Linked DNA regions of Sus scrofa. The protein of the gene in region 5 binds, or shares a complex with, the protein of the main gene of each other region. Links are inferred from orthologs where the notes say so. Each region holds a gene or a part of one and is shown on either strand. Other genes may lie near its edges. The genes, in order: MED7, MED31, CCNC, MED23, MED13L, MED20 and MED18.

Evidence for each region.
Region 1: MED13L (region 5) and MED7 share a complex: the UniProt entries of both Homo sapiens proteins name them as parts of the mediator complex. The link is inferred for Sus scrofa from reciprocal best matches to the Homo sapiens genes MED13L and MED7.
Region 2: MED13L (region 5) and MED31 share a complex: the UniProt entries of both Homo sapiens proteins name them as parts of the mediator complex. The link is inferred for Sus scrofa from reciprocal best matches to the Homo sapiens genes MED13L and MED31.
Region 3: MED13L (region 5) and CCNC share a complex: the UniProt entries of both Homo sapiens proteins name them as parts of the mediator complex. The link is inferred for Sus scrofa from reciprocal best matches to the Homo sapiens genes MED13L and CCNC.
Region 4: MED13L (region 5) and MED23 share a complex: the UniProt entries of both Homo sapiens proteins name them as parts of the mediator complex. The link is inferred for Sus scrofa from reciprocal best matches to the Homo sapiens genes MED13L and MED23.
Region 6: MED13L (region 5) and MED20 share a complex: the UniProt entries of both Homo sapiens proteins name them as parts of the mediator complex. The link is inferred for Sus scrofa from reciprocal best matches to the Homo sapiens genes MED13L and MED20.
Region 7: MED13L (region 5) and MED18 share a complex: the UniProt entries of both Homo sapiens proteins name them as parts of the mediator complex. The link is inferred for Sus scrofa from reciprocal best matches to the Homo sapiens genes MED13L and MED18.

What each region holds. Positions count from the first base shown.
Region 1 is NC_010458.4:66,117,185-66,121,629, reverse strand, and holds the end of MED7 (mediator of RNA polymerase II transcription subunit 7), read right to left. Parts: intron 3,966-4,445; 5' UTR 3,893-3,965; intron 3,889-3,892; exon of another isoform or gene 3,787-3,888; intron 1,650-3,786; 5' UTR 1,633-1,649; coding exon 931-1,632; 3' UTR 534-930; downstream 1-533. UniProt on the Homo sapiens protein: Component of the Mediator complex, a coactivator involved in the regulated transcription of nearly all RNA polymerase II-dependent genes.
Region 2 is NC_010454.4:50,726,971-50,731,603, reverse strand, and holds the start of MED31 (mediator of RNA polymerase II transcription subunit 31), read right to left. Parts: upstream 2,924-4,633; 5' UTR 2,648-2,923; coding exon 2,620-2,647; intron 2,396-2,619; exon of another isoform or gene 2,332-2,395; intron 1,764-2,331; coding exon 1,686-1,763; intron 932-1,685; coding exon 835-931; intron 1-834. Other genes in the region: C12H17orf100 (uncharacterized protein C17orf100 homolog), read left to right, coding at 3,119-3,490. UniProt on the Homo sapiens protein: Component of the Mediator complex, a coactivator involved in the regulated transcription of nearly all RNA polymerase II-dependent genes.
Region 3 is NC_010443.5:66,475,546-66,479,489, forward strand, and holds part of CCNC (cyclin-C), read right to left. Parts: intron 1,748-3,944; coding exon 1,668-1,747; intron 359-1,667; coding exon 240-358; intron 1-239. UniProt on the Homo sapiens protein: Component of the Mediator complex, a coactivator involved in regulated gene transcription of nearly all RNA polymerase II-dependent genes.
Region 4 is NC_010443.5:31,990,929-31,994,872, reverse strand, and holds part of MED23 (mediator of RNA polymerase II transcription subunit 23), read right to left. Parts: intron 3,910-3,944; coding exon 3,739-3,909; intron 3,327-3,738; coding exon 3,110-3,326; intron 1,225-3,109; coding exon 988-1,224; intron 1-987. UniProt on the Homo sapiens protein: Required for transcriptional activation subsequent to the assembly of the pre-initiation complex. Component of the Mediator complex, a coactivator involved in the regulated transcription of nearly all RNA polymerase II-dependent genes.
Region 5 is NC_010456.5:36,062,420-36,067,086, reverse strand, and holds the start of MED13L (mediator of RNA polymerase II transcription subunit 13-like), read right to left. Parts: upstream 3,059-4,667; 5' UTR 2,938-3,058; coding exon 2,866-2,937; intron 2,787-2,865; exon of another isoform or gene 2,230-2,786; intron 2,185-2,229; exon of another isoform or gene 1,888-2,184; intron 1-1,887. UniProt on the Homo sapiens protein: Component of the Mediator complex, a coactivator involved in the regulated transcription of nearly all RNA polymerase II-dependent genes.
Region 6 is NC_010449.5:37,070,986-37,075,574, reverse strand, and holds the start of MED20 (mediator of RNA polymerase II transcription subunit 20), read left to right. Parts: upstream 1-1,424; 5' UTR 1,425-1,554; coding exon 1,555-1,568; intron 1,569-4,589. UniProt on the Homo sapiens protein: Component of the Mediator complex, a coactivator involved in the regulated transcription of nearly all RNA polymerase II-dependent genes.
Region 7 is NC_010448.4:85,382,667-85,387,085, reverse strand, and holds the start of MED18 (mediator of RNA polymerase II transcription subunit 18), read right to left. Parts: upstream 3,002-4,419; 5' UTR 2,801-3,001; intron 2,240-2,800; 5' UTR 2,171-2,239; coding exon 2,098-2,170; intron 1-2,097. UniProt on the Homo sapiens protein: Component of the Mediator complex, a coactivator involved in the regulated transcription of nearly all RNA polymerase II-dependent genes.

The DNA.
Region 1 (4,445 bases), on a different chromosome or scaffold from region 5:
TGACCGTAACACCAGCAGATGAGAAGAGAATGACGAGGCAAAAAATTTTTATGGGGCAGGCCTAGATTTTTACACCATATTTCACTGTTAAGAACTCAGTCACGTGGCCTCACAGATATGCAAGGGGAATGGAGAAATGAAGTCCCTGGCAGGGCAGCACATCTCAGGGGAGCAAGAATCTCCAGTGGACATCCAGCAGTCTCTGCCACCAAGCCCCCTACCCATAGCAGGCTTCCAGCCTTAAGCAACTCCAAGTTTAGGAAATGTAATGTATGGGCACCTTAATTATTAAAGTGAATATAACTATAAGTGATCAAAGGACTTGTCACAGTGGCCAGAAGAAAGTTCTGGAACCCATCCAGAATAAGGACCAAGAGGCTGGGATAGAATATTTATAAGGCGCAGTCAAGAGGAAAAATAAAATTACTGTTTTATAACTCTTATGGGGTTTCTCTCTTTTAACATGTAACACTATTTTTTTTTAAAGAGATTAAGCCATCTTTTAAGAGGAATAAATCAAAAGATTTCCTAAGTTCACATTTACATAGTTTGATATCCTTTATTATTTATCACTCTTAAAGCAAATGACAAATCTACTTTCCAAGGACGAAAGCTTGCAATTACTGAGGATATCTTCCAGCTCACTGCACCTCTGAAAACAGGGACGTTCCACCCAATAGCAGCGAACACTGCCCTTCACGGTGATTACTCTCACTGGGGCACTACATTTAAGCTAAGTAGGAATCTAGCTATGCTTGCCACAGACGAAAATACTGCCTGTGACGTCCCACAACTGATAAAGCTGGAGAGTCAAGCTGTTCGCGTGCCTTCTACTAGTTGTATCTCTTCAAAGAATTCTCTAAAAGTGAATTAACTAATATATATGCTATTTACTGAAAGGAAAAAATCAGCAAGGAAAAGAAACATCTTTCACGGTCTTTCATTCATTTCATCAATGAGGACACACAAGGCAGCATCTTTCTCTATAATCTGGTCTCTCCTATGACCTGAATTTTCTCTTTGTTGGTCACTCTGTCCAGTACAATTGTTGCTATCATCAGCGTCCATTGGTTCAGCTTTTACTCTCATCCCTGCTTCTGAATGGGGCAAGTCATCAGGCAAAGAAGCCAAGCAATTCTGAATCATCTCAATGACTCGTTCCAGATGCTTCTGAAACCTCTCTGCTGTCTCAAGGCGTTGCCGCTTCTGCACCTCCATCATGACTCTCAGGGTCTCTCTGGCTTGGTGGGGCCGGTATTCATTTATGAGATGATGTACATGCACAAAAAGCAGCTTAAGATCTTCTAGCTTCTCTTCCCGTTTTATACTCCCAGGACTCCTTATCAAGATATCTAAGAGATCTAAGAAATTAATAAGGATAGACATATTGAGTTTTCTCAGTTCTTTCTTGTGATCAAACTGCATAGGATGAAGCCGTTCGATACCCTGACTTTCCAAAGGGCGGATGATAAGATCATCACATTGGAACTGGTTGCCAAACATCATGTAACTGTCTTTTATTGGAGGTGGAGGCTTGGGAGCGAGGCCTTCCTGAATGTTTTCATCTGTGTATTCCTTGATGTACTGCATCGGAGGTGGCGGAAGGGCACTCACTTGCTGTGGCTCACCCATTGCAGAAGATCACAAACCTACAGAAACAGACCGAAGATTGAGAGTAGAGCTACAGAACAAACCTGCCACACTTAGTGACTACAAACAAGGTTATTTCCCTTTTTTTCTCACGGCAGTTTGGGGCCCAGGACAAAAAGAGTTCTTTTATTTCTAAAACTAACATTTATAACACAGAAAGGCTGCCATCCTTTTCTAATTAGCATTATATACTCAACTATCCAGATTTTTTTTCTTTTCTTTTCTACCTAATACTTTCACAGGCACAAAAAATATACTGTAGCATACAGATGACCCTTGAACACAGGTTGGAACTGGAAAATCTATACTCAGGTTTCCAATTGCACAGAGGGGAGGCACCCCTAATCTCTTGAGTTGTTCAAGAGTTGATTGTATTTTCAGCTATAAAGGAAATCTTCTGGTTTCCACACCCCTCACCAGTTATGCCCTATTTCTCTACCTCTCTTTATAGTCAACTACACATGCTGTCTCCCCAGCTGAGGTTACAACACTTTTATTTTATATTATAGATGCATTTCCAAAAGCAAACGCTAACTTATGGTCTAAGAAACACCTTGACAAAATTAAAATTGCTATATTCCAGACAAGTTCACATCGTCTGTGCTTTTTTGATAAAATGACCCAATTCCATACCCTCTTTTTCTGCAATGTACTCAACTATTTTTTATAGACACGTTAACTTTTCTACATCCACTAAAGAAATTTCAAATCCAAATATATCTTCAAGAGCCACAATAACCTCTATTTATTCCATTTTAAGCTTAGGTATATCAAAAAAAAAAATGGTAAGATCTCGAGTGCTCACTTAGACTGATCTTATCAGATTTTCAAGACATAACACTGGAAGTTCCCATTGTGGCTCAGTGGTAATGAGCCCGACTAGTATCCATGAGGACTCAGGTTCGATCCCTGGCCTCGCTCAGTAGGTTAAGGATCTGGCATTGCTGTGAGCTATGGTGGAAGTCGCAGACTCAGCTATGATCTGGTGCTGCTGTGGTACAGGCCAGCATCTGCAGCTACAATTCGACCCCTAACCTGGGAATTTCCATATGCTGCAGGTGTGACCCTAAAAAGGAAAAAAAAAAAAAAGATATGACACCACCCAACGTCAGAGATAACAGGTAAAATACTGGATGCCGTTTTATACTTGGAATGTATGAGGTACTAAAGGCAGCTGCCCAGTAGCTCCAAGTTTCCACCAAGCCACAGAGGTGACGAACAAGATGCTGCTGAGAGTCAGTGAGGCAGTGGCCGTGGGCATCATGAGTTACTCGAACTAAACCAACCACAATTACTGCTGTACCAGCCTTCCCCTCATTCATTTTGTCACTACCCAGTATGGTATCAACCTCCTACCTCCACAAAAACTACTCATCAAGGTCATCAACAATCTCCACATGACCAAATCCCATGGACTTTAAGGGGATCTTAATCTCTTAGCATTCTCTTTTTTTTTTTTTTTTTTTTTTTTTAATGGCCGCACCTGCGGCATATATAAGTCCCAGGCTAGAGGTCGAATCAGAGCTGCAGCTGTCAGCCACAGCCACGCTGGATATGAGACCTATACCAGTTTGTGGCAATGCCAGATCCATAATCCACTAAGCAAGGCCAGGGATTGAACCTGCATCCTCATGAATACTAGTCAAAACTCTCAGCAGCATTTCCTTAATTTGCAATACACTCCGCTTCTCCTCCAGCTTCAGTGATCCTACATTTTCATTTTCCTCTACCCCACTGGCCACTCCTTCTCAGTATCCTTTACCGCCCTTTCTTCTCTATCCAAATTTTAATGTTGGCATGCCTCAGAGGGCTGCCCTAAATGAGAATCACAAACTCAAATACCAAAGGGAAAAGGCAGGCAATATAAAGAGTGAAGCACTCTGAGGCAGGGATTAGGGCAAACTGAGCATCTGCCTGCCAGACTTGAAAGCTTCCTGCCACTAGCATTCATGTGGGAAAGAAGATTCATTGTTTCTCAGTTTCTTGATGTTTCAAGGGCAAACCCCCATATTTTTACATGAAATCTCTCAAGTTTTAAAAATACTGGCAATTAATTCCAGAAATTGTCAAGTACTGCGAGGTCAAAAAGAATTATCTGTAACAATCGTTGTTGCCTGCTGATCAGTAATTTTAGACCTGTTTCGTGTTCTCCCTTGGATGGTCTCAGTCAATTCCACAGCTTTAAATACCATTTCTACAGTGGTTCTCAACCAGGCATGATTTTGCCCACCAGAAGACATACGGTAAATGTCTTTCTGTTAACTCTTGGTTTTTTATCTCCAGACTGCGTCTGGGCTCCTTCTGGATGTTTCAAACTAGAAAAGAAAAAAAAAAAAAGTTCTCTGATTCCATCTACCGTATATACCCACACCCTACACCTGTTCTCTCCGTTTCTAATCTTTCCTATCTTGTAAAATGTCCCCATTATATACCTAGTGTTTCAAGCCATAAATCTGAAAGGTATCTTAGGCCTCCGTTTTTACCAACCTACTCTCCTCACCATCACTGCCAAATTTATCAAGACCTGTTAATTCCAAACCTCACTATCACGAATTCATCAGTTTTGACCAAGACACCATTCCCTCTTACCTGGAACACAATGGCTTCACCAGGGATTATTTCATATTCGTTACTATTCTTCTCTATATACCAGTCAACCCAACTCTCACACCACATTCCTTTTCCCTTCTATCCTAGAAAAAATGTTTTCCAGTATTCTTATACAATTCTTTACACCAACCTCTCCTGCCTTTGGGTCTTTCCATATGATTTTCTTCCTGCTTCAGGCACTAGCT
Region 2 (4,633 bases), on a different chromosome or scaffold from region 5:
CTGTGGTGTGGGCTGGTGGCTATAACTCCAATTTGACCCTGAGCCTGGGAACCTCCATATGCCGTGGGTGCGGCCCTAAAAAGACAAAAAACAAAGCATGTCACCACAGTAAAAACTGTCTCAAGCAAGTAAGTATCTTCAGTAAATGCTAAAGTTAGTGGGTAAAAGAATGAAATATGAAACAAGAAATTCCTACAGACTCAAAGTATTTCCTCACAAGATACATATTAAATACAAAAGGAAAAATAGTACTTGATATGGATAAAAATAACAGCCACCACCTCAACCAAGTGATCAAAATTAATATCACCAGTCATAGAATGAAGTGACTGCCTGTGACTCCTGACATACCAAGAAGGATATAACATCATTTCTGTGTCACTTATGGAGGGGAAAAAAAAAAGAAGACTTAAAACTCATATTAATGGAGACTAAGAAGACATGACAACAAAATGCAGCATCTGAGCCTAGACTGGATACTACACCAGACACAGGATATTGGTGAGACAGCTGGCAAAATGTGAATGAGGTCTGTTGGTTAGAATATACAGAAATTCTATTATTTCCAGTTGTTTTTAGGTGAAATTATTTCAAGTGGAAGGGTGGGGGTGGGGGTGGGGGTGGGGGTGGGGGTGGGGTAGGGATACCAGTGAGATTACTGCAATAATCCAAGTTAATTTAGAAACAAGTGTTTCATATTAAACTGGTGGAAACTAAAAGGAGCACAAAGAGGCAAAAAAATTTTTTTTCAAATGTGAAACTAAGACATCTAATTAAATATCAGTCTTTGTAATAAAGTACACATATATTTAGGACTATGAAAATTAAACTTACTTTAGATACTTGGCATATTCTGGCTCTTTCCAGTAAAGCAAGTACTTAAGATAATTAACAAAAGCTTTGTCTTTGAAGTAACCTCTTTGGGCAAGAACTGAAAGGCACAAAAAAAAAAAAAATCTGTAGAGCAAACCATCCTTGGACTACTTATTTCTGACTCCTGACATACATAAAGTAAACTTAACATAACATCCCCACCACTAAAAAACACTGAATTCAGGGAGTTCCCATCATGGCTCAGTGGTTAACGAATCCGACTAAGAACCATGAGGTTTCCGGTCCGATCCCTGGCCTCGCACAGTGGGTTAAGGATTTGGCGTTGCCGAGACCTGTGGTGTGGGTCGCAGACACGGCTCGGATCCCGAGTTGCATTGGCTGTGGCGTAGGCCAGGCGGCTACAGCTCCGATTCGACCCCTAGCCTGAGAACCTCCATATGCCATGTGAGCGGCCCAAGAAAATGGCAAAAAGACCAAAAAACAAAAAAAAAAAGACACTGAATTCAAAACACAAGTCCCAGTCTGCTCAATGATAATATATAGCAGTAAAAGTGTAGCAATAATTCCATTCACTTGAGAATGTATAAAAGTAGATAAAGTCATCCCAGGGACTCTGCAGGGGATTGGTTCCAGGAGACTCCACAGATTACCAAAATCCACAGATGCTCAAGTCCCTTATATAAAATGGTATAGTGCGATGACAGTGACAGTACTGTCACCTTCTGTATCTGAGGATTCAACCAACTGCAGTTGAACTGTGGATACCAAGGGCCAACAGTACTATGAATTGCAACTCTTCGGTCAGAAATCATCAATATTTACTCAATTCAACGGGGTACTGCTCAACTTACAATTAAGGTAATTTGGGTTGGCTAAACACTGCACAAATTCCAACTCCAATTGAAACCGAAGTCGATTCCCAGCATCATCTAGGAGAGAAGATATCAAAAATCATCCAAAATAAACGTCACTGAATACTGATTTGTAGAAAGAAAACATCAGTAATAAACCTAATGCTGAAATACACTTCTTCATAAAGAAGGGCATGTGATATTTTCCTAAACTGGGCGTGGGAGGAGAAAAACCTTTCTTAGAAGTCTAAGGAAAGCAAAGCCCTGATTAAAAGGAGTAAGACGTTTCTCTAAACTTAAAGACAAGTCATCAAAGAAAGCAAGAACACACAGGTCAGAATGTTTATGACCCGTGAGCTACCATGTAAGAAATTTAACAGTGATCACTGGGATAGATTAGGGTAACTGTGCCTTAATTTTAATAATGCATTACAAGTAGCTAGGTGATAAAGTTAGTAAACAAAAACAAAGTGAATGCTAAAGCCACCAAGAAAAAGTTCAGAATGCAAGCTGACAGAGGCTACGGCGAGTACACAAGATCAAGAAGCGTGTGCTTAGGTGAGAAGCGTCGTTGGTAGTATAATAACACAAATGTGTCGACGATGTTTTAACTTATGCAAGCTCGTTTGAGACGCAGAAAACAAACCGAAGATTGGTTTAAAATTGAAATTCTCTTTCTCGTTCTCGCCGGAAGCCAGTGGTGCCGGTGTCTGAAGAGCAATGAAAGAAAAAGTGTTGGCCAACAAATTAAACTCTGAAAAGGCCAAACTACCTTCACCCTTCCGACACTAGAAAAGTCCGCGGCCCTCCCGGTCCGAACTCACTCTGCCTGAAAGAAGTCAGGCCTGAAAGGAGAACGCGGGGGAGCAGGAGCGGGGGTTTGGGCCCAGGATAGTTCTACTTGCGAAGACGCGTGGCTCCGAGCGCGACTCACCTGTCTCCATAGCGACGGCGGCGGCCATCACGAGCAAAGACGCTAACCCACAAGCAGCCCAGCACAGCAAACGCCCGGAGCCGCGGGGGACGTGCCGGAAGCCGCCGCTCCCTCTTCCTGCCGCGGGGCAGTGTGGGACGCGAGGGCGGGATCAGCCTCGCGCGGGGGCGGGTGGCTCCGCCCATCCGCCCGCCCGCCCCGGCCCAGCCCAGCCCAGCCCCTCCTCCGCTCGCGGGAGCTCCTGACAGACGAGGGGGCGGTGCGCCCGCTGACCGAGCGCCTGAGGGGCCCGGCCCAGAGTTGCCAAGGAGTTTTCACGTCCCTCCCCACCCCTCAAGGAAACCTTGTCCCCAAGTCCCTGTGTCGTGGCACCCTCGTCTAGCGCTGTACCTGCGTCACACAGGCATGTGACGTCACTCGTCACCCTGTGACGTAACCCGTCGGGGAGCGTGAGGCGGTAAGGCCTCCCGAGGCCCGCTCGGTCCGTTACCCCCGTGGAATGGCCTCACCCCTTCGGGGAAAGCCCTCGCGGCCCCGGGCGGCGGCCGCCCGCTACGAGGAGACGTCGACGGTACGCGTAGAGACCTCGTCCCACCGCGTGGAGACATCCTCCCGCCAGGTGCAGACGTCCTCCCGGCGGGTGGAGACCACCCAGCACTGCAGCGAGGGGCCCTCCGTCTCCCCCTCTGGGAAACGGCTCCCTCGCGTCGTCGAGGTGTCCCAGCACGTGGAAACCTGGCAGCGCACGGAAACAGCCTCCCGCCGCGTCAGGGCCTCGTGCCTGCGGGTGGAGACGACTCTGCACCGCGTAGAGAGCCCGCCGCGGCAGGAGCAGCCGGCAGGCCGCCAGAATGTCCAAAAGGCCCCATGAGATGCTTCCTTCTCCAGGGCCACGACAGGGCCATGGCCCGTGGCCAGTGCAGATCTGCCTCCAGTTCGCAGCCGGCCTGCTGCCAGGTGGACCGATTCCCTTTGGTTTCCTGGAAACAGTCCACAATCCACAAATCAATGTAAGAAAGAGCCAAGCTGTGGTTTCAGGACTCAGCCAACATTCACTGACCCAGCTGCACCTTGGACTATCCTGCCTTTGACCCTGTGAACTGTTTTAACTTGAAACCAGCACAAAAAGTTCCGGGCCCCGGATACTGTATGAATTGAGTCGATGGACAAAGAGGCTCTTTGAACCTCTCAGACAGGTGAGTGTGGGGGTCCTTAAGCCCTGAATGACCTTTGCTGCTTCAAATTTAAGGACAGGGAGCAAGCAGAAATCATGACCAGTGGATTGATTATGTGCCCGCTGAAAACCTGGGGGGCAGGGATCAGACTTTCCTTAATTAGTTAATTCCTTAATTAGTTGGCCTATGTTTATATTTCAAAGCACGCAGTTCTTTTCTTTATGCTGAGCCCTTGTGCATGGTACCCCCCCCCGCCCCCCAGCCACACATGTTTTAACATAGGTCAAGTGCAGTTCAAAATGGAAAATGAAGGTCAACCATCAACAATCAAGAATAATTTTATGGGGGAAAAAACTGTAATTGCAATGTATACATGTAAGGATATCCTGACCCCCTTGCTGTACAGTGGGAAAATTAAAAAAAAAAAAAAAAAAAGAATAATTCTAGAAGGCAAACCTGACCTGTGATTTGAGGAGATGCAGGGGAGGGAGCCTGCATATTGAGCACCGACTCTGTGCTAGGTATTATCCTGGCATTTAAGCTATAGCAGTGAACAAGGTAAACAGGGCCCTGGCTTGGGGGGAGTTCATATTCTAGTGAAAAGGCAAACAACAGGAGTTCCCATCGTGGCGCAGTGGCAGGGAATCTGGAATCCGACTAGGAACCATGAAGTTGCGGGTGCGAACCTTGGCCTCGCTCAGTGGGTTAAGGATCCGGCGTTGCGGTGAGCTATGGTATAGATTGCGGATGCAGCTGAGATCTGGCATGGCTGTGGCTGTGGTGTAGGCCAGTGGCCACAGCTCCAATTAGACCCCTAGCCTGGGACCCTCCATATGCCA
Region 3 (3,944 bases), on a different chromosome or scaffold from region 5:
GGGATACCTGTAATAGACCTGCCACTGCATTAGGAAAAGCTACTTAATAGATGATTATTAATACTGTATTTTTTAAAATGAGACATTCTCAATCTATCAAGTCACAAGAAAAAAAATTAACATGAGTCATGAAGTTTTGGAAAAAATTTTACGAAAACAAAACGTAATCTATGAAAAAACATGATATGTATATAAAATATACAAGTAAATAAAATCAATATATAAAGTCTACAAAGTACCTGTTTGGAGGAGGTTTTGGTTTCGGCATCTTACTAAGGATAGTTGCCATCTCTTTCCTCTCATCAAAATTCTTCCACTGCTCATACAGTTTTAAAATAACCCTGATTATTTCCAAAATCTAGAAGAAAATATTTGAAAAGTTCTCTACGGCAATATCAAGCAACACTTAGTATATAAAGAAGACATATCACGTATTAGATATCCCTCAGAAAACAGTGAAAAGATTGCCCCTGTCCTTCAGCTTAGATTAGACAATCCTGATAAATGTGAAAGCACTATTTTTACCATACAGCAATTTCGGCTTTTACTCCTAACCTCTCATCTTTAATATGTATACCTGGTCTATCCTTATCCATCTCCGCAGTTAGTTTCCTTCTATCTATTGATATCTTAAACCAAACCAAAATATTGAGGTACTAAGGAACAGAGGTCTAGATTATGAAGAGTATGCCACTACAGAGTATACTCCTCTAATAACAATCATTTCAAATAATTTAGTGGGCAGTAGTGCACAAAAGACTTTGTTCTGATTCTCTATTAACTACGCTACACATGAGTGAAGGTGCTCAAAAACCAGCAGCTACAAATCTCTCAAATCTGCTTTCCAAATCTGCCCTTTCTTCACCTGAGTAGACCTAACCTTGGATTGATTCTAGAATATTTCAGCAAAAAAGGTAGAAAAAAGGGCAAAAACTACTTTGTCAGGAGATAGGCTGTATTACAAAAGTTTACAGTAGTATTCACTAGGTCACTTGTCACCAGGCAGCTTTTAAAACAGTCCCAGGAGTTCTCTGGTAGCTAAGGATTATGCATTGTTACTGCTGTGGCTCAGGTTTGATCCCTGACATGGGAATTTTTGCATGCTGAGGGCTCGGCCAAAATATAATCAGAGCTAAAATAATCCTTGGAGTTCCCATCGTGGCTCAGTGGTTAACGAATCCGACTAGGAACCATGAGGTTGTGGGTTAGATCCCTGGCCTTGTTCGGTGGGTTAAGGATCCAGCGTTGCCCTGAGCTGTGGCATAGGTTGCAAATGAGGCTTGGATTCTGAGCTGCTGTGGCTGTGGTGTAGGCTGGCTGCTACAGCTCTGATTAGACCCCTAGCCTGGGAACTTCCATATGCTGCAGGTGCAGCCCTAGAAAAGACAATTAATTAATTACTTAATTAAAATAAAATAAAATAAAATAAAATAATCCTGGCAATTAGAGGCTGCTTTGCAACCATCAAACCCTAAATTTACCATTCTATTTAAGCCTAAACTGAAGAGAAATATAACCTAAATAGTCACATATTTCTTAGCGTTTCTTTACCAAAAATATTCTTAGCCTGGCTGACATCATGAAATTTGAGTCTCATGGTAAGTAAGTATAACATTAATTTTAAAATGTTCAAGTTTACATTCAGTCAAGGAAACTTTAAAAATTACCTTCTCCATGTCCACAGAAAGCTCAGCAAACCACTGTCTGGCATCTTTCTGCTGTACAACACAGGCTACATGCAGGCAGGCTGGAAAGAAAATGAGACAAAGGTCCATGTTTTAAGTGCAAACATGGAATGCATGGACTCACTTAAGATTTTAAAAGTCACCTAAAACTTTATGTGTATTTTCTTATATTCCTTTTAATATTTATATAGATTCATGTAACAGTTACCAGTGATCACCCTATTAATTTAATCTTACATATAGGAAAAGTTATTGGGCTACATATAGTAAAGTTCTCCCCACTGAGAGCTAGTCATGGTGCGGTTGCCTTGAGAGTCAGGGCATGTCAGAGAGGAAAAAATCCACTGAGGAACTATAGCAGGAAAGGATCCCTGAACAGCAGTACAAAGCAGTGGTGAAAATGCACCCAAAAGTCCATGTGACAAAAAGAAACAAAAATTTAGCAATCAAAACACTGATAAATGTCAACAACACTGACTATGTTTTGGTATTTCAATTAAAAGTAGCAGTCCCTCTGTTTTTTAAAGTTATTAACATAAGATCAAGTTAGGTATAAACTGGGCACACTAGCACAGAGTTTGATGTTATAATCAAATAGAGCTGAGGGGAAAAAAAGTAATATACTCCACACAATGTAATTATATACATTATTTACAACATAAACTAACAAAGATAGTGAAAGACTCAGAGGCAACAATCTACATCATAAATTTACCTAATATAATTCTCCCAACCAGCCTGGCTATAGTGATCCCACACAAAGTTGTTAAGTGTTATAGTCCCTAGTCTGGTTACCCATAAGACTTTGCTAAGAAGGATATTCTAGGCAAACAGCAACTCAAACATGAACTTACATACTGGCTGCCCTATGTTAAACAAAGCTGTAAAGTAAGGCTTAGGTCAAGGACAGATTGAGATCAAAAGACAAATTATAAAAACATGTAATTAGGGAGTTCTAGCTGTGGCACAGTTGGTTAATAATCTGGCTTATCTCTGTGGCAGAGCAGGTTTGATCCCTGGCCTGGCGCAGAAGGTTAAAGATCTGGTGTTGCTGCAGCTGTGGTGGAGGTCACAGCTGCAGCTCAGATTTGATCTCTGGCCTGGAACTTCCACATGCCATGGGTATGGCCAAAAAGGAAAATGAATGAATGAATGAATAAATAAATACAGGTAATGAAAATACAGTGGAAAATGACATAAGTCACACATAAAGTAAATTAGGAACAGAGGAGACATTCTAAACCCAGACTGAGGTGATACAGAAAGTGCCACTAACAAGATAGAGGAGTCAGCTTTTTAAAAAAGTGAACTGGGGAGTTCCTGTCGTGGCGCAGTGGAAACGAATCCGACCAGGAATCATCAGATTGCGGGTTTGATCCCTGGCCTCGCTCAGTGGGTTAACGACCTGGTGTTGCCATGAGCTGTGGTGTAGGTCAGACGCGGCTCGAACTGGCGCTGCTGTGGCATAGGCCAGCAGCAACAGCTCTGATTAGACCCCTAGCCTGGGAACCTCCATATGCCACAGGTGCAGCCCTAAAAAGACAAAAGACAAAAGACAAAAAAACAAAAAACAAAACAAAAAAAAAAAACCCAAAAATGTGAATTGGGAGCAGAAATGGTAAAAAGAAGGTGTGAATTTTATCCAGAAATTGGGAGGAGCACTGAAAGATTTTAATAGGGGTATAAATCCTGCATTTTATTATTTTATTTTATTTTTTGGCCTCGCCTGCAGCATGTAGAAGGTTCTTAGGACGGAGTTCCCATTATGGGTCTGTGGGTTCTGAACCTGACTAGTATCCATGAAGATGTGGGTTTGATTCCTGGCCCTGCTCAGCAGGTTAAGGATCCAGCGTTGCTGTGGATGTGGCATAGGCCAGCAGCTGCAGCTCTGATTAAACTGTAACCTATACCACAGCAGTGACAATGTCAGATTCTTAACTGCTAGGCCACCAAGAACTTCCAAATTCCGCATTTAAAACAGTTCTTTAGAGCTCAGTTTCTCAACCTTGGCACTACTGACATCATGGTCTGGATAATCTTTTGAGACTGCCCTATGCACAGCAGGATGCTTAATGACATTCCTGGGATTTACTCACTAAATGCCAGGGGCATGCCACCCCAGTTGTTATAACCAAAACCATCCCATAGGGAGCAAAATTATCCCAAACATCCCATAGGGAGCAAAATTATTATTGAGAACCACCAGCCTTGCTCGAGTGTGGAGAATAGGCTGGCTCTCTTAGAACAGGGACACTGAGA
Region 4 (3,944 bases), on a different chromosome or scaffold from region 5:
TTTGATATGACTGAAATGTATTGATAGCTCCTATATGATCAACCACAGGTATAAACGGTTGGTTTTATGTAAGTGGGCTCTTATATCTGTGACTTAAGAGCTACAGATGCAGCCAAGCTATCCCTAGGCTTTATCAACTTATTTCTTTTAGTACCTATAGGACAGTTAATAAGAAAATTTCTTTAGCCTAAGTAATTCTTTTACTTCAGGAAATAATTCCTTTGTGTAGTAAAATAAACCTAGTAAATAGTGGCATGGTGTACAATGTGCTATTAAATACAATGTGCTAATTACTTGAAATAAAAATATCAATATAGAATTTCTCACTAAAAAAAAGAAAAAGAAGTTTTATTACTATCTATTAATGCTTTAAAAAATTCAGGTTTTTATTTAAAGCAACAAAATTCTATGTTCTCTGGTGGTGAATAGATGCATGTACTACAAGACTTAGTACATTTATTTAGGAATAGGATATTTTTCTTTGAAATAAATCTCTTCTCTAAGGTCTTTTTTCTTTTTTTAGGGCTGCATCCACAGCATATGGAGGTTCCCAGGCTAGGGGTCTAATTGGACCCGTAGCGCTGGCCTACATCATAGCCACAACAACGCAAGATTCGAGCTGTGTCTATAACCTATACCATAGCTCACGGCAACACCGGATCCTTGACCCACTGAGCGAGGCCAGGGATCGAATCCTCCTCGTTCTCATGGCTAATGGTCAGATTCGTTTCCGCTGAGCCATGAAGGCGGAAATATAAATTTTTAAATATAAATTTTTTTAAATATAAATTTTAGTGGAGTAAATTTCTACCTACATGGCATGCTGCTACTAATTTAAGATTTCAAAACCTTTACAGAAGCAAAAATTAAAACATAAAACATTAAAAAACCTGAAGTCTTGGAACATATAAAAAGACAACATATGTTCACACATATCGACATACAGTTATTTCTGCAGAGACTGGAAAAGCACAATAAAAAGGATATTATCTACTAGTCTGCCAATCAATTTGCAATAGTAGGAGTCATCGGGGACCCAGGGATTGTCTTCTCGTGCGTTCATAGCACATTTCAGGTAAGTGTCACTTAGACACCAGCCCTGTGGTCGGTTATCCTTGAGCGACCCAATGATTGCATGGACAAGTTTTCGTTTGAGACTTTCACGATTTCTCAGGTGCATTTCATAATAGTGCAGAGTATTATACAAATAAGTTACTGGACGATCTGCCAAGAAGAAAAGAGGTCACTACAATGTTTACCTGGTTACTGACAACTGTGAAAAAATAACCTTCTATTTTTAAGATTACCAATAAATAGCTCAGAAGGTTATGAAAACTACTTCACATGTTGGCCAAGTGCATACAATGAATGTTTTTATCCTAGGACAAGGCAAAAGGCTTCTAACAATATACAGAGCTTATATTGAAGGATATTTATCACATTCTGAGGTCACAATTCCACTTCTGGAAATTTACTCTGCAAAAAATGTCATAAATGTAAGCAATGTCGCTGAAGCCCTGCTTATACCAGCAAAAGATCAAAACAGCCTAAAGAGTGAAAAACAGTGGACAGGTTAACTTAATTACCGCATATAAGAAGCAGCTTTGTATGTACTGATACAAATTTATCAACCCCAATACATTAGAAAGGTTAGAAAGGTTAAAAAAAAAAAAAGGTGCAGAACAATGTGTAGTATTACATATTTGTGGGAAAAAGACTACCAACCTCACAATATTTATGGTACGATACACAAGAAAGTGGTAACAGAAATTGCTTATAGAGAAAGAAACTGCTGAACTAGAGCACAGGCTTGGGACTAACTACTTTACACTTCATTATGTGCATATATTATCCGATCCAAAAGAAAAGTATTTTTATTTTTAAAATTTTTTTTCTTTTTAGGGCTGTACCCACAGCATACGGAAATTCACAGGCTAGGGGTCACATTGGAGCTGTAGATGCAGGCCTACACCACAGCAACGCTGGATCGTTAACCCACTGAGCAAGGCCAAGGATTGAACCTGCATCCTCATGGATGCTATTCAGATTTGTTTCCGCTGAGCCACGAAAGGAACTCCAGAGAAGTGTTTTTAAAAGACTGCTCCCTTGAACTTCATACTTACTCTACAGTGCTAAAACATAATTCAGATTTGTTTTGGAGGAAGACTTCTTACACCAAGGATTAAGAAGAACTACCCCCCAAATAAACACTCTGTCCCCATAGTGGCTACTCCAAGACTTCCACACTCTGTCACTGATTTCACTATTCTCCAGTTATCAAGCTTAAAACATCATAGAGCTGTCTTTGCTTTCTTTTGATATTCCCCCCATAACTGGTCAATCAAGCCCAATTCTTACTTCCTTGACTATCTGTCCCTTCTTTCTCATTCAAGGCCATCATACTTGTTTAGATGCTAATACAACTGAATGTCTTGTTATAAGTCTTTAAAATGACTTCCTCCTTCCAAGTTGTCCATATTGGAATTACAACTGACTAGATTTATCTTTCTAAAATAATACTATGACATGACTTAACTCAGTAACTTCTAGTTAATGCTTGATTATCTTTAGGTTATAAAATCAGAACTTCTGAGCCTGGCATTTACGGTGATCTGCCATCAGGTACAATTTAGCCCAACGAGACGACTGTTTTCAAAATGCCTTGTTTTTAACATCTCCATGATTCTTCCAAAAGATTTTTTCTGCCTAGTATGTTCTCTTCTCCTTCCTATTTATATAAATCCCATACATCATAGTTCAAACCCTAACCATCCAAGAAGCCCACTAAGATCTATTTAGTTCACAGTAACACCAGTCTGTTCTGAACTTATTTTTTTTCCTTCTGTACTGATTTGGAAATTAATCACACAATATATACAACAAGGCTTCTCTTGCATATTACTTTTTTTTTTTTTTTGCTCTGATCTGTTGATATTTTTATGTCATTTATTTTACATTTCATGGCATCATCACACATACCTCCTCTCAAAACACTTATATTAAAATTATTAAAATAAAACCTTTAGAATCACCATTATCCATTTGGTCATGACCAGCCTACTTTTGTCTACAGGGCTATTAGATGGAATTAAAATTTGAAAAAGCTCACCATGAAATTTATACAAGCCTCCCAGGTGATCTAGTAGAGTCTCCAATGATTTGGATACTGGGAGCAATTCTAAAAATCTGTGGATTACTATATCAAATACTGGAAGGAAGCGGAGACACACATTTCCAAAATAGATGGGCAGGTAGGGAGACTGGATCGGCACAGGAGGATCAACCTGCTCTGCCAGGCCCTCAAAATAGAGCTTCTCCGGATATTTCTGTGGAAATGAGGAAATGGTAAATGTTGAGGCATGTTTTTTTTTTTTTTCTCCTTAAAGGAGCTAAACTTGTCGTTTTTCACAGAATCTGAAACTGTTTGCTGCTACAATAAAATGAAACTTAAGAGTCCTTTTATCCAACAAAAAATCTCTACTGTTTCAAAGATACATTTACATACATAATTCTTTTCATTTTTTAAGTACTCATGTCTACTAAAACTATAGTTTTAATTTATTCTGAACATTACAGATAGCCTCTAGAACCTTGAGAAAGTTAAGAGAGCTAATTCACTTCTATACGGACCAGAGAGAAAACAGTAGAGCTGCAGAGAAAACAGCCAGGTCAATTAGCCAAATACCTACAAGAATGGCTTTAAAAAGGATTAACTGAAGCACTAACTTGAATTAGTACCTTGTGATAATTCATGTGCTTGGTGTGCCAGTCATTCTGTAGCCAGTGCTCTGGGGAATTTTCCTTCACAAAGTCACTTACTCGATTTCTAAAATCATTTGGTTTGAGCAACAGCAACTGAATTATGAAATAACAAACCTGGGCTTCATTCCCTTCATGACTACGCATGGCCTTTGAAGAAGAACAGAAAAATTATATGAAAATGC
Region 5 (4,667 bases):
TGTGCAGTAGAAAATCAGAAAGTAAAATAAGTAAAGGACTAACAAAAAATCTTAAGGCATCTGACTGCACAAATCAACTTTTGCTAAGCCATGTGAACACCTCAAAGTAATACAAAGTAGATGGCTCATTAATGTGGTACAGAACTTTAATAATTTCTAGTTTACATTTCAATCTACATTAAAGAGCATCTAGGTAAATTCTCTATAAGCAATACTTTCCTCTGACTAAAAAAAAAAAAAATAACTGCAGGCCAAAAAGAAAAATGTATGCTATTATTATGCACCACAAGTTCTTATAATACATGCTTTATTTTGAGCAGGTGATGATTTTATCTCCTTTGGAATGAACAATTCCAAACAATGTACTTTAGGCAAAATATTTTTGATATTCTAGGTTGCTGCTATATCTAATTTTCAAGAAAATTCTCAATTTGCAATGAGTAAAATTTATAATTATCAACAGCTCTGAATCCTAAATTTTTTTAATTTGTACCTATCCACTTTCTACATACAATAGAATGTAGACATTCTACAGTCCTTTAAAAAAAAAAAAAAATCAACCCAAACAACGCTGCAGTTCTGCATTTCAAAGTTGCTACCTAAAGAGTAATTGTTTTTTTTTTAAAAAAAAAGTATATTCAAAAATCAATTCCTGGTTTAAAAAGGTTAGAAAATCTAAAGCATAAACCTTCAGTCAGTCATAAAGCACAGCAAAGCATACAAATTGCCTCTCCAAAAGAATCTTAAGCATCTTATCTCTATAACATTATCATTCTTACTTAAGCTTTAAAAAAAAAAAAAAAGATAAAAAAATGATATCTCCAAAAGACAGGCTACACATGTACTTTGACTTGTCTACAAAACGTACTGTATATAAATTAGCCACATACATACAAGCCGTTGCTAGTCAGCATGATATATGGTAATTTGGAATCTCTCCTCACTAATACTGGTCTACTCGGTTATTTTAATTCCCTGTTAAAGTGTCAAAGTGGTCACCAGCCGCCAAACAAAAACCATTTAAATACCCCTTAATCAATACGTTTGCTAATCTATGGAAGTCCCTGCATCTGACTAATACTAAATGACAGACTGAGAGGAGCAAAGCAGCAGCAAAATGAGTTTTAGTTCCACATAGCAAAAGATCAAGGGAAAATTTTCACAGTATAAAGAAGACTCGCAACTTATCATTGATTTTTAAGATTAAATATCTAAATAAAAATGTTGAAAAAACTGACTTGACCTTATTACAGTGAAAGCAAAGATACTATGTCATTGGGTCTTTGCAGGTAAAAATCACGTTTTGATTTTTTTTATCTGCATAATGAAATTTATTTAAAAAAATAAAGCTTCCATTTGAAAAGTTGGCAAGAATCTGTATTTCTCCACTAGTCTCAAAGAAAAAAAAAAAGCATCTATGCTACCCATAATTAAATGCAACTAATTACAATTTGAACACTAAATTATTTATCCAGTGTAAACAAGGATTAAGAGAAAATAATGCTCCTATCTACAGCAGGGGTTACAGAAAACAATTTCAAAAATGCAAGCTCTCCAAAGGCAGTCCCCCCCAAAAAGGATACAAAACTTAAAATAAGTTGGGGTTTTCTTTTTTTAAGGCTAAATTAAACAAACCGTTCAGCCAATTTTCCAATTATATTCTACGCCTGAAACATAATTGCCTTACATCTGTTTACAAATCTTTGCTCAATATTTAAACAAATTCGTAGTCTCCCGGGCACATAGCTATATATACAGTAACCCATGCACAAAGCACATATTTAAAGACCACGCACTGCAATTATTAGCCTAAACGCCAGGTTTAACAACGTGAATGTTTTCAGAGCTAGGTAATACGACCCAATAAAAAGCAAAGATGGCATTTACCACCAAATGTCACTGCCACCGCCAGGAAAGAGTTGCTGGAGCCCTATACATTTTTAATTTCGCTGAATCTAGACGCCGTCGTCGGGTGCCAGGCTTCCAGGAGAACAATTGACACCCTAACTGCTTCAAGATTAAGGCAGGCGATTCAAATCCGAAGGAAAAGTTGTCAATTATCAGAGAGAGAGCGCGAGGGAGATGAAGGCAGATAAAAGCGATGTTATCAAACCGCCCAGCTTGTTGCTGCTGCTGCTGTGTGTGTGTGTATGTGTGTGTGTGTTAGGAGAGAGAAAACAGTTTTTTAAAAAACACAGGAGGAGAGAAAAAAGAAAAAGCTTTCTCCACCTTCCGTCGGCTCGGTGCAATGGCTTTACGGCTCTCCAGCGTAGTAAGCCCCAAGAGGCAGGCGGCTGTCGATGTTTACAATCGCGGGAGCTTCGGGTGCAAGAGTCCTTTACTGACACAATCGCATTCAATCAACTGTTTTCGGGCGAAATTGCAGGTGTCATTATGGAATTTTTTAAAAATTCAAAAGGCGGGCGGGCGGGCAGCCCATCCGACAAGGGGGGAAAAAGGCTGCTTATCGCAGGCGCGGGCAGCACAAGGCAAAGCTTTCCACATTTAGGAAAAAAAGGGGGGGAAGGGGAGGGGAAGGGGAGTGCGATGGCAACAGAGGGTGGGCGTTCGAAGTGCGACCCAGAATCCGCAGCTTTGAGACTTCTACATGCAAATTCCACGCCGAGCGCCGCGCTCACAAATGATTTTTAAAGAGCCAAATAAACACTGGATGGGATCCAAGGCGAGGGAGAGACGATCCAAAAGGGGGAGAATCAGCGAGAGGCGAACGGCGGGGAGAGGCGAGGGAGGGGCGAAGTCCCGGCGGCGGGAGGAGAAAGTTGGTCTGCGGCGGAGGTCGGCGGCGGAGGTCGGGGACCCCCCCCCACCCCGGCATAGCCCCCTCCCTGCAGCCCGGCTACTCACCAGCGAGAAGAGGTTGGAGTGACAATCCTCCAGGCTCGCCCCGTTCGCCACCCAGTTCGCTGCCGCAGTCATGATCCTCCGCGAGCCCGGCCGCCAGAGCGGGGCATGTCGGAGCGAGGCGTCCGAGGCGAGGCCGGGCCGGGCGGCAGCGCCTCGCCGGAGAGCGCGGGGCAGCCGGGCCGCCGCCGCCGCCGGGGGAGGGCGGGAGGGCCGCCGGGCGGGTGGGAGGCGCCGCGGCGACGCCGCGCCGGGGGCGGCGGGCCCGGGCCGGCGGGGGGGTCCGCGGCGGCCGCGCGGCTCCTTCCTGCTCCCGCGGCGGCGGCGGCGGCTCCGGCGGCGGCGGGGGGCGCTGTCCGCGCGGCCGGGCGCCCTCCCCGCCTCTCAGGGCCGCCGCTGCCTCCCGGGCCGGCGCTGCGGGCCGGCCGCCGCCTCCGCCTTCCCTGTTCCTCAGCCGCCGCCGCCGCCGCCGCCTTGTTTATCTCCAGCCACCGACTCCCCCTCGGCCCCCGCCGGCGCGTGAGAGGAGGCGAGCCCCGGAGCCGCCGCCGCCGCCTCGGAGCCGCCGCAGCCGCGGAGCGCGAACTCGCGAAGGGGGGGTGCGGACGAAGCCAGCGGGCGACCCCGGCAGCCGAGCGACGTCCCCTCCTTCCTCTTCCTCCCCCACCCCCCCCTCCTCCTCCCCAGTCAGCCTCGCTTCTCCTCCCTCCCCGGGCTCTCTCACTCTGACAGCAATGGCGGCCGCCGACCGCGGCTCGGCCCGCCATTGGCTAGCGCCCTATCACGTGACGGGCGCCGGCCGCGCGGGGAGGGGGGACGGGGGAGGGGCCCTGAGCGGCGGCGGCGGCGGCGGGGCTCGCGGGCGGCGCTGCTGAGCCGAGTGCGATCGGATTCTCCGGCCGGGAGAAGAAGGAAGACGGGGAGGGAGAGAAAGAAGTGCGGGCGGCGCGGCTGCCGGGCTGGCAGCGGCCGGGCGAGCGGCCTCAGGCTGCTGTGCGCTGCCCCGCTTGGGCGCCGCGCCCCGCCCCCTCGGGTGCTAGGATCTTTACGCGGCGCTACCTCACCCCCGGAATGCCTGTGGCAGTGGCCGCGGAGAGCTGGGGCCCCTAACCTGTGCCTCTGACGGCCTGGGCGACTGGGTGGTGGGGCTCGCTGTTGGCCAGACAGCATGTCCACGTGTCTCAAGGTTTCACTCTGTCGTCCGTGTTTTGCAAATGAGAAAACTGAAGCACAAAGAGATTAAGTCACTTGCCCACAGCTGGGAAGAGGAGGAGATGGGATTCAAACCCCTGCACCCATGCACAGGGAAGCTAAGCTCTTGCACTAAGGTTTATTACCCTCGCCCAGGAGCGCTTACTGAATACCAGGCACTAAGAAATGCAGAAATGCCTTTTGAACCCTTACTCCTAGGCACTGTGAGCATGCGTTCATTCATTGCATAAATGCTTTCTAATCTCCTGCTTTGTGCCAGAAATTTTTTTTTTTTTTTTTTAACTCCCAGGCACTTTACTAGGGCTGTGTTGGGAGCAGACCTTCCCTCCAGCATTCAATCAGTAACCAACATTTCCAGTATGGGAGTACAGAGGAATGCCACCATAGGGAGGCTCTTTTCCAGCCCTCAAGGCTTGACCTCGATGCAAAGGAGGAGAGAAGATAACTTCTTCATTAACAAGCCCTCGAACGTGGAAGAGCCGTGTAGATTGGACTAAAAGAGAGGAAGAGTGGAAAACAGGAGAAAGATGGAGTGTAACAAAAGGAGAGAAGTGTTAGACATGTGAATTGAGCTTTAGGAACTACTACAAGTA
Region 6 (4,589 bases), on a different chromosome or scaffold from region 5:
CATATGCCACAGGTGCGGTCCTAAAAAGCAAAAAAAAAAAAAAACAAAAAACAGAGACAATAGTGCAACCTTGGGGCAGGTCCAGATTCCTCCTCAAGGAATATACATAGTATCTTTGAGCCCTTCTGCAGAACTATTACTTGATGAAGTATGAAGCATTCTTCAGTGGAAAAAAGGAGGACCACCAGAACCAGTCCTGGGGCCACTAAACAGGAGCGTGAGAAACCGTGCAAGTTTGCCTCGACCCTGGTCCTTAACTGCGGCTCTATTTTCCACTCTTACACTGTAAAACCATCTCCTAATCTCTCTCAAGGGGACCATAGTCTTTAGGGCACTAACCTGCTCTGGCCCTCCTTTGGCAGAGCAATAGAGATATCTTTTTCTTCTTCACCCAAAACCCTGTCTCTGTGCTTCAACTGGGCATCGGAGGACAGAGACAGAGTTTTGGCAACACTACCTGCCTCATATCCTAGCTCCCCTCCTCGCACCGGTTTCCTCCGTGCTACCTGAGATTCTGTCTCCCGGGCCTAGGTCCTAATTTTGCTCCAAATAAAACTTAACTCTCAACTTTTAGGTGAAGGTCTCCAGCCACCCTAAATCCGGCCAGGGCTGGGTCTCCCATTCCATTACCTTTGCTAGAGTGTAATACGCCCCCCTGGGTTTTTTTTTTTTTTTTTAATTCCAAACTATTATCCTGCCGGACACTTTTCAGCCTACCACTACCAACTACCCATCCTCTTTCTCGCACCCACTCTCGCTACTCACCCAGCCGCGTGGTGCGATCTTGAGGTGCCGCCGGCCTGTCCCCGGTCCCATGCTCAGCCTCGAGCTCCTCTTGCTGCTGCCGCGCTTGTTGCAAAATCCGTCGGGTCAGCCGAGGCCCCACGTACTCCTCCTCCTCTTCTCCGGTTCCGCGACCCCGCCGCTTTTCCCGGGTCCCCGCCCGCACCGCATTCCCAGCCAGGATTTGGTCGGCCAGGGGCGCATGCTTTTCCTGACCCTCGGCCCCGCGGGCGGCCTTGAGTTTGGGCATTTCGCTAGAAAACCTCGCCGGGAAGTTTCACATGTGGGGACAGAGGAAAAGCTCTGAGTGCGCCGGCGCAGGGAACTCCCCAGAGGCCAGACGGTGATTACAGCGCCCCCTGGTGTTCGGAGGCCGGACCTGCCACCATCCCCGCCCCACCCCCTGATAGAGCTCCTGAGTCCTGGAGCTGGACTCCCGAATAAACTCATTGCAATTAACATCGCCTTCTCTAAGCAGTGGCAGTCCAAGCCACGCTTTCTTAGCTTCATGAATCTAGGCCCGGGGTGATTTGTCGAATAGGAAGTCCCCGAGCTGCAAGCCTAGGGGGCGGAGCCCTGCAGTGACGTCACTGGAGGCGCCTGTACGCCCCGTTCCTCGTGGCCGCCGAAGGGACTCGCACTTTTTACGTTATTTCCGGAGCACCTCCTACTACCGAAGCTTTCGTTAGGTCGGTGGTTTCACCTCGCGTGGGCTGCAGCAGAGCACTGCGTATCAGCTGTTCAGTACTGTCATCTTCCTGGCCTAACATCATGGGAGTGACTTGGTAGGACTTCAAGGGATTTCGTGGGGCGAAGCTTGGGGTGGTGAAGGGCCGGTGGAGCCTCCAGTGTCCCCGAGAGGAGGATCGGGATCAGGGTCTGAGAGAGATGCCCTCGAGTTGTGTGGGTGAGGGGACCACTGTGAGGGCTGCGAAATCTGCGGGCCTTTTTCCTCGGAGATGCGCCCCTTCTTTCTCAAAGGTGGCAGGTTAAAAATTTTTATCTTAAGAATCCACCAGTGGTCGCGTACCTCCTTCCGTTTTTCTTGGTATATTCTTCCTGCTCGTCATCCCACAGTACTGCCTGGGGTCGGAAATAGTATGTCGGGTTTAGGACCCATCTGCAGTCAAGGTTGGATGGGTTGTGGGGAGGGAGATAGACAACATTGAAGGCAGTATCTTTTTTAGGTTTTTGCCCTTCCCTATGGCCACTAAATGCAGTTAGACCAGCCTGTGTCTAGTTCTAATTTGGCCATTTTAAGATCTCGGGTCTAGAGGGGGAAAAAAAGAAGCTATTGGGAGTTAGGAGATTGGGATGTTAGGCACATCACCTCCTCAGAACCTGTTTCCTACTATGTTTAATTACATGCTTGGTTTAGTTTCTGTGGACTTAATATCTGTAACGTGTTATGAGTCAGAGTGCAGGGAAATATGGGCCTCATGCTCTTGGAGGCATTAGTTCCAAAATGCTAGATTTCAGGGCTTAAAAGAAAAAAAAAAAAAAAGGTATCTGGAGCATCTTTCCAATCAGAGAGGGCTAGAGGCCAGGGTATCAGGAGTCAGTGGCTATAGAGTCTTCATATAAGAAAAGAGCCTGTGGGAATTCTTCCTCCCAGTCACCCAAGTCTTGCACACTTGTCAGTGACTGCACATTTGCTTCCTGCAGTTGACATCATGAGCCTCTTTGGAAGTCTTTTAGTGTAAGGAGGATGTGAAGAATGGAGATGAAAAGTTTCCTCCGCAGAGGCATGGAATCCTGGAAGCCCCTGTTGTTTTTTTCTTTTCTTTTTTAAATTAAAATATAGTTGATTTACAACATTGTGTCAGTTTCTGCTGTGAGGCCCCTGTTGTTGTTTTTGTTTTTGTTTTTGTTTTCTTTTTTCTTTTTTTCTTTTTAGGGCTGTTCCTACAGCTTTTTTTTTTTCTTCTTCTTTTTTTCTTTTTAGGGCCGTTCCTGTGTCACATGGAAGTTCCCAGGCTAGAGGTTGAATCAGAGCTGTGGCTGCCAGCCTGTGCCACAGCAATGCCAGATCCGAGCTGCATCTGCAACCTACACTACAGCTCATGGCACCGCCAGATCCTTAACCCACTGAGCGAGGCTAGGTGATCGAACCCATATCCTCATGGATACTGGTCACATTCTTAACCCGCTGAGCCACGAGCAGAACTCCGAAGCCCCTGTTCCTTCAGTGCAGAAGGCAGACAGAGGGAAAAGGCCCTCTGTTGGGACCCTTCTCGACTTTTCAGATTCCTAGTACTTTGGACCCCAGTTGTATCATCTAAGGGATTCTCTTATTTTTCAAAATAAAGGCCATCATCATTGTGGCTTGTTAGTGCTCTTCCTGATGGAGATTACTGACAATTTGTAGCAACAGCAGGGGTCTGTTTTTATATTTTCCTTTAGTTGATCATAATTGGTCATAAAGTAATGCAGTACCTCCCAAAATTCAGCCACATAATGATTGTCTTTATGATTTTTATATAACTTCATAGCACTTGAACTATTTATTTTTTTTTAATTTTTTTTTTCTTTTTGCCATTTCTTGGGCCGCTCCCGCAGCATATGGAGGTTCCCAGGCTAGGGGTCTAATCAGATCTGTAGCCGCTGGCCTACGCCACAGCTCACGGCAACACAGGATCCTTAACCCACTGAGCAAGGGCAGGGATCGAACCCACAACCTCATGGTTCCTAGTCGGATTCGTTAACCACTGCGCCACGACAGGAACTCCTAATGCTTTCTTTTGATTCTGTTTTTTTCCTTATAAGTATTTTAACAGACAACTGTATCCTTAGGAAAGCATTCTTTTTTTTTTTTTTCCTCTTTCAGCTGCACTCGAGGCATATGGAAGTTCCCAGGCCAGGGACTGAATCTGAGTCACAGCTGTAAGCTGTGCCACAAATGTGGGAATGTCAGTTCCTTAACCCACTGCCCCAGGGCAGTATCAAACCCATGCCGTCACAGAGACAATGCTGATCCTTAACCACAGTGGGAACTTGGAAAGCTTTCGGTGGAGCATTTAAGAGCATGGACACGGAGCCACCTCACTTGACTACACTGCATTAAGCAGTATGACCTTGTGCCAGTTACTCAACCTCTCTGTTCAGTAGTTTTCTCATTTGTAATGAAGAAATGATTATGCTGTGTCTTATAGGGCTGATGCAAGTTAATTCATCTAAAGGCTTTGGGCACTGCCTGGCTCATAGTTGGTGCTTGGTAATTATTACCTACCACTTAAAGTAGAAGCCAGTTGCACTCTCCATAGAAGGAAATCTTGGAAATAACTTTTTATCTCATTGTTTTGGCTAAATTCTTGTTGCCTCTCACTCTCAAAGATTAGAAACTTGAGGCTTGCTTTCTCTTTGATCCAAGGATCCTTAGAACTTTCTTCATTGATGAAAATGTTCTATGTCACTGTCCGGTACACCAGTTCCTAGCCACTTGTGGCTATTGAGCTATTGAAATGTGGGCAGTGCAACTGAAGAGTTGAAGTTTTCATTTCTGTCGCACATGGCTTGTGGCTCCTGTGCTGGACAGCTTTCGTTCAAAGTGTTAGAGAGTTAGTAAAAACACAGTAACCCCAAATGGAGGCTTTCTCCTTGATGGAGTCAGAACTGAAAGAAACACAGAGTAAATTCCTTTCTCATCACATGACTTAGTGTCACTGAATGCTCGCTCTGTGTGCCACCTAAAACATTGGCACACATGCCACACTTGGGAAATGCAGGTGCAGTAGGCTGTTCTCTGCAAATGTGTGAGACTCCTAAGACCAAGCTCTGGTTCTTAGCAGAGCCCCAGGGACTGTGGG
Region 7 (4,419 bases), on a different chromosome or scaffold from region 5:
AAAAGAAAGGATAAAGCAAACATGAAAAAAATAACAGAAAGTACAATCAAGATGACAGAAATTGAGTGTTCATTCTATCAGTCTCTATTTTCTTTGTGTTTGAATTTTTTTTTTTTTTTTTTTTGCTATTTCTTTGGGCCGCTCCTGCGGCATATGGAGGTTCCCAGGCTAGGGGTCCAATCGGAGCTGTAGCCATTGGCCTATGCCAGAGCCACAGCAACGCGGGATCCGAGCCGCGTCTGCAACCTACACCACAGCTCACGGCAACGCGGATCGTTAACCCACTGAGCAAGGGCAGGGACCGAACCCGCAACCTCATGGTTCCTAGTCGGATTCGTTAACCACTGCGCCACGACGGGAACTCCCTGAATTTTTTAATAATAAAACATTTTTTAAAAAAGATGTTGAACTGGAGTTCCCGTTGTGGCGCAGTGGTTAACGAATCTGACTAGGAAGCATGAGGTTGCGGGTTCGATCCCTGGCCTCGCTCAGTGGGTTAAGGATCCTAAAAAACTGCCTCCCCCCAAAAAAAGATGTTGAACTATTGTGTGAGAAGAGACAGATGATCAAAAGTGGAAGCAATGCAATAAGCACAAAATTACTAAAATAGTTCAAAGGATGATAAACCAAGCCATTGCATGTGGAGAAAAGACATATTTAATATATATTTTGGAAGTAAAATAAACAGAACTAGAGATAAGCTATAGGTGAGAATAAAGTGAAAAAATGGAGATTGATTCCTGAATTCATAGCTTGAGCAACTGGTGAATGACAGGCACTTACTAAGATGGAAAAGACTGAAGGAGGGACAGCTGGAAGAATGAAAGTTAATAACCCTACTTCGTTCATATTAAGTTTTTTTTTTTTTTTTGTCTTTTCTAGGGCCTCTCCCCAGCATATGGAAGTTCCCAGGCTAGGGGTCTAATCTAGGAGCTGTAGCCGCCGGCCTACGCCAGAGCCACAGCAACGGTGGGATCCAAGCCGTGTCTGCAACCTACACCACAGCTCATGGTGACGCCAGATCCTTAACCCGCTGAGCAAGGCCAGGGATCGAACCTGCAACCTCATGGTTCCTAGTCGGATTCATTAACCACTGCACCATGACGGGAACTTCCATATTAAGTTCTTAAATGGATAATTCAAAGTCTAAACTTTTTTGCGAAACATTATAAGGCCTCCTGAAAATCATTACACTGAGTTTTGAGCTTTCTCATCTGGGCAAGTTACTTCAATTCTATTTCCTGATCTACAAGAATTAATAATAGTATCATAAAATTATCATATGATCCATTAATTTCACTTCTGGATATTTAACCAAAAGAATTCAAAGCAGGATCTTGGAAGAGATATTTGCATACACATGTTCACTGCATTATCCATGTTAACCAAGAGGTGGAAGCAACCTGAATGTCCAACAACAGAAGAACAGATAAAGAAAATGTGGTATATACATACTATAGAACATTATTCAGCCTTTAGAAAGGAGATCCTGTCTCGTGTGATAACACGGGTAAACGCTGAGGACATTATACTAAGTGAAATAAACCAGTCATAAAAAGACAGATACCATATGATTCCACTCATATAAAGTTATCTAACGTAGTCAAAATTAGAAACAGAAAGTAGAAAGGTTTGGAATTCTCCTGTGGTGCAGTGGGTTACTCATCCTGTGTTGTCATTGTAGCTGCCAGAGCTGCTCCTGTGGTGTGGGTTCGATCCCTGGCCTGGGAACTTCTATATGCCGTAGGTTCAGCAGAAAAGAAAATAAAAAAAGAAAAAAAAAAAAAGAAAGTAGAAAAGTTGTTGCCAAGGGCTGGGGGGAGGGGAAAGGAAGAATGAGTACAGAGTTTCAGTTTTGCAAGATGAAAAAGTTCTAGAGATTGGCTATACAACAATGCAAACATATTTAACACTACTAAATGTTATGCTCAAAATGTTTAATGCTATATGTTTGTGACCATAATTAAAGCCAAATTGAAAAAAAAAAAAAAAAGAGGTGCCAGAAATTATGTAGCCTTTGTATATTAGCCTTTCATCTCCATGGAACCTGAACAGAAAAGAGGAAATCAGGTAATCTAAGCTCCCTAGTTCACTTACCCTGCAGCAGGTACTCCATCATGTTAATGGTGCCCCCGGTGACAGGCATCATAGTGACTGGAGGTGCCTCCATGCTATCTGTTTAAGTTGAAAGCAACAGAACCGGATTCAGAGTCCCAGTCAAATAAAGCACAGGACACACCTGGAAAAGAGTTATGCTTGTTAATACATCAGAGAGATGGAGAGACACCAGATCTACCTGGGTCATTAGCCTTAACATCAAAAGATTCATTCATTCATCCAGAACTTTTTGAACAACTTCCATAAGTCAGTTTCAGGAATTGATGATACAGAAATACACAAAGGAGGCCTGATCATGGAGTTATAATCTTTCAGTCTCAAGGTCTGAAACCTTCAGTTTCAGAATTTCCTGTGCAATAAGCCATCAAACCGCTGACCCTGGGATTCAATGTCTTCCTTATAAAATGAGGTCGACATTTAACCCCCAAGGCTTTGTGGCTCAGATGACACAATAGCCGTGAAATAATAGAACTGAGAGGTGACTCCCCTTCAATTTGGAGATGAGGATACTGACACTTTGGGTGGGGGTTGGAGGGAAGGATACAGAGCAAGTCCATGGCAGAGATAAACCAGACAAAAATCTAGGCGTTCAAAACGCCTTTGAAAGCGAGCCAGACAGAAGTGCGAAGTTCTTCTGACGATTGAGGTCCTCCTACCCCACCATCGACGCGTGCCTACTCACACCAAAAACACACCTCCGCGCGTGTTCTAGCCTTTTCTGGCAAAGCAGGGAACTGAAGCCACCAGAGCACCTCGGAGCTTTTTAGCGATAATTAGCCCCCAGCACTGAACTTGAAGACCCCCACCCCCCGGTGGAGTGCAACACTTTCTCCCCTCCACTTCCGGCAAAAAGTCTCCGTCGCGCAAATCTTGACATCACCATTCTGCGACGTAAGGGTGCCGGGAAGGCATAAAAATCATCTCTGCGGCCTGGCAAGTAGAAGCGCATGCGCAAACTGCGATTCTGCGTGGAAGAGGGCGGCCTTCCTGAGCGCGTTCCTCGGGGCGTGAGGGGGACCTTGACATCAAAGGCAGTCCTCCCGGAAAATATTTTCCTTTTTTCAAGTGTGACGGCCTGGAGTTGTTTTTGTCAAGGAATTCTTTTGGAACTTACAGGGGGAAAAGAGAGCCGGGGGAAGAGAGCTGAAGAAAAAAAGAGATCATAAAACCAAAACTTCTTTTGGTTGAGTACCTGAAGATAAGAAGGAAAGACATCTTTTACTGTTTAGCAGACTGTTCTGAACAATTAGGGAACTCAGCAATACATTTGATATTTGTTCACTCTTCTGTGTTTATTTTACCTCAATTCAAAAATTTTGGGAGATAAGTAAATTCAGCTCATTTATTGAATGTTGCTTGTGTGTCAAGCATGTAAAATGCAAAGAATGGAGCTAGAGTATGGTGGTTGAGGCACTCCCTGGAGCGAAAAATTTAAGGGGCACCAAAACTCCTAACAATTCAAAAAATTGTAATGCAATCTTTTACGAATTTAATGTGGAAAAAAAATCCTTAATGAACAAAATATTGGAATTTTTGATCTTCACAGCAGCCCTGTAACCCAAGTATAATTATTACTTAATTTTACTAATGGAGAAACTTAGGCATCAAGAAATAACACACCAGGGAGTTTAGACTGGGGTACAAATTTAAGCAGCTGCCTGATTTCAGAACCCACCCTCTTAATTGCTACACATCTTTTTTTTTTTTTTCTTTTTAGGGCTGCACCCTGGCATATGAAAGTTCCCAGGTTAGGGGTTGAATCAGAGCTTCAGGTGCTGACCTATGCCACAGCCACAGCAATGTGCGATCTGAGCCGCATCTGTGACCTACACCACAGCTCATGGCAATCCTGGACCCCCAACTCACCGAGCAAGGCATATAGAAGTTCCCAGGCCAGGGTTGAATCGGAGCTGTAGCCCCTGGCCTACGCTACAGCCACAGCTGTGCCAGATCGAAGCCAAGTCTGCAACTACACCACAGTTCATGGCAATGTTGGATCCTTAACTCACTGACTGGGGCTGGGGATGGAACCTGCATCCTCATGGGTACTAGTTAGATTCATTTCTGCTGAGCCATGATGGGAACTCCTATACAGTCATTTATAATTCCAGTTTCCCCTGCTGTAATTTATACTGTCTTACTCATTTACATTTTTAAACTTAAAAAAAATATTACCCACATTTTATCTGACATTTCAAAAGTAGGATTAAATTAAAAAAAAAAGAATAGGTAAGAATTGGGTGAACAATATGGTAAAACTTGGACAAGACTCATGATTTATAGGGATGGAGAAAATGTTAT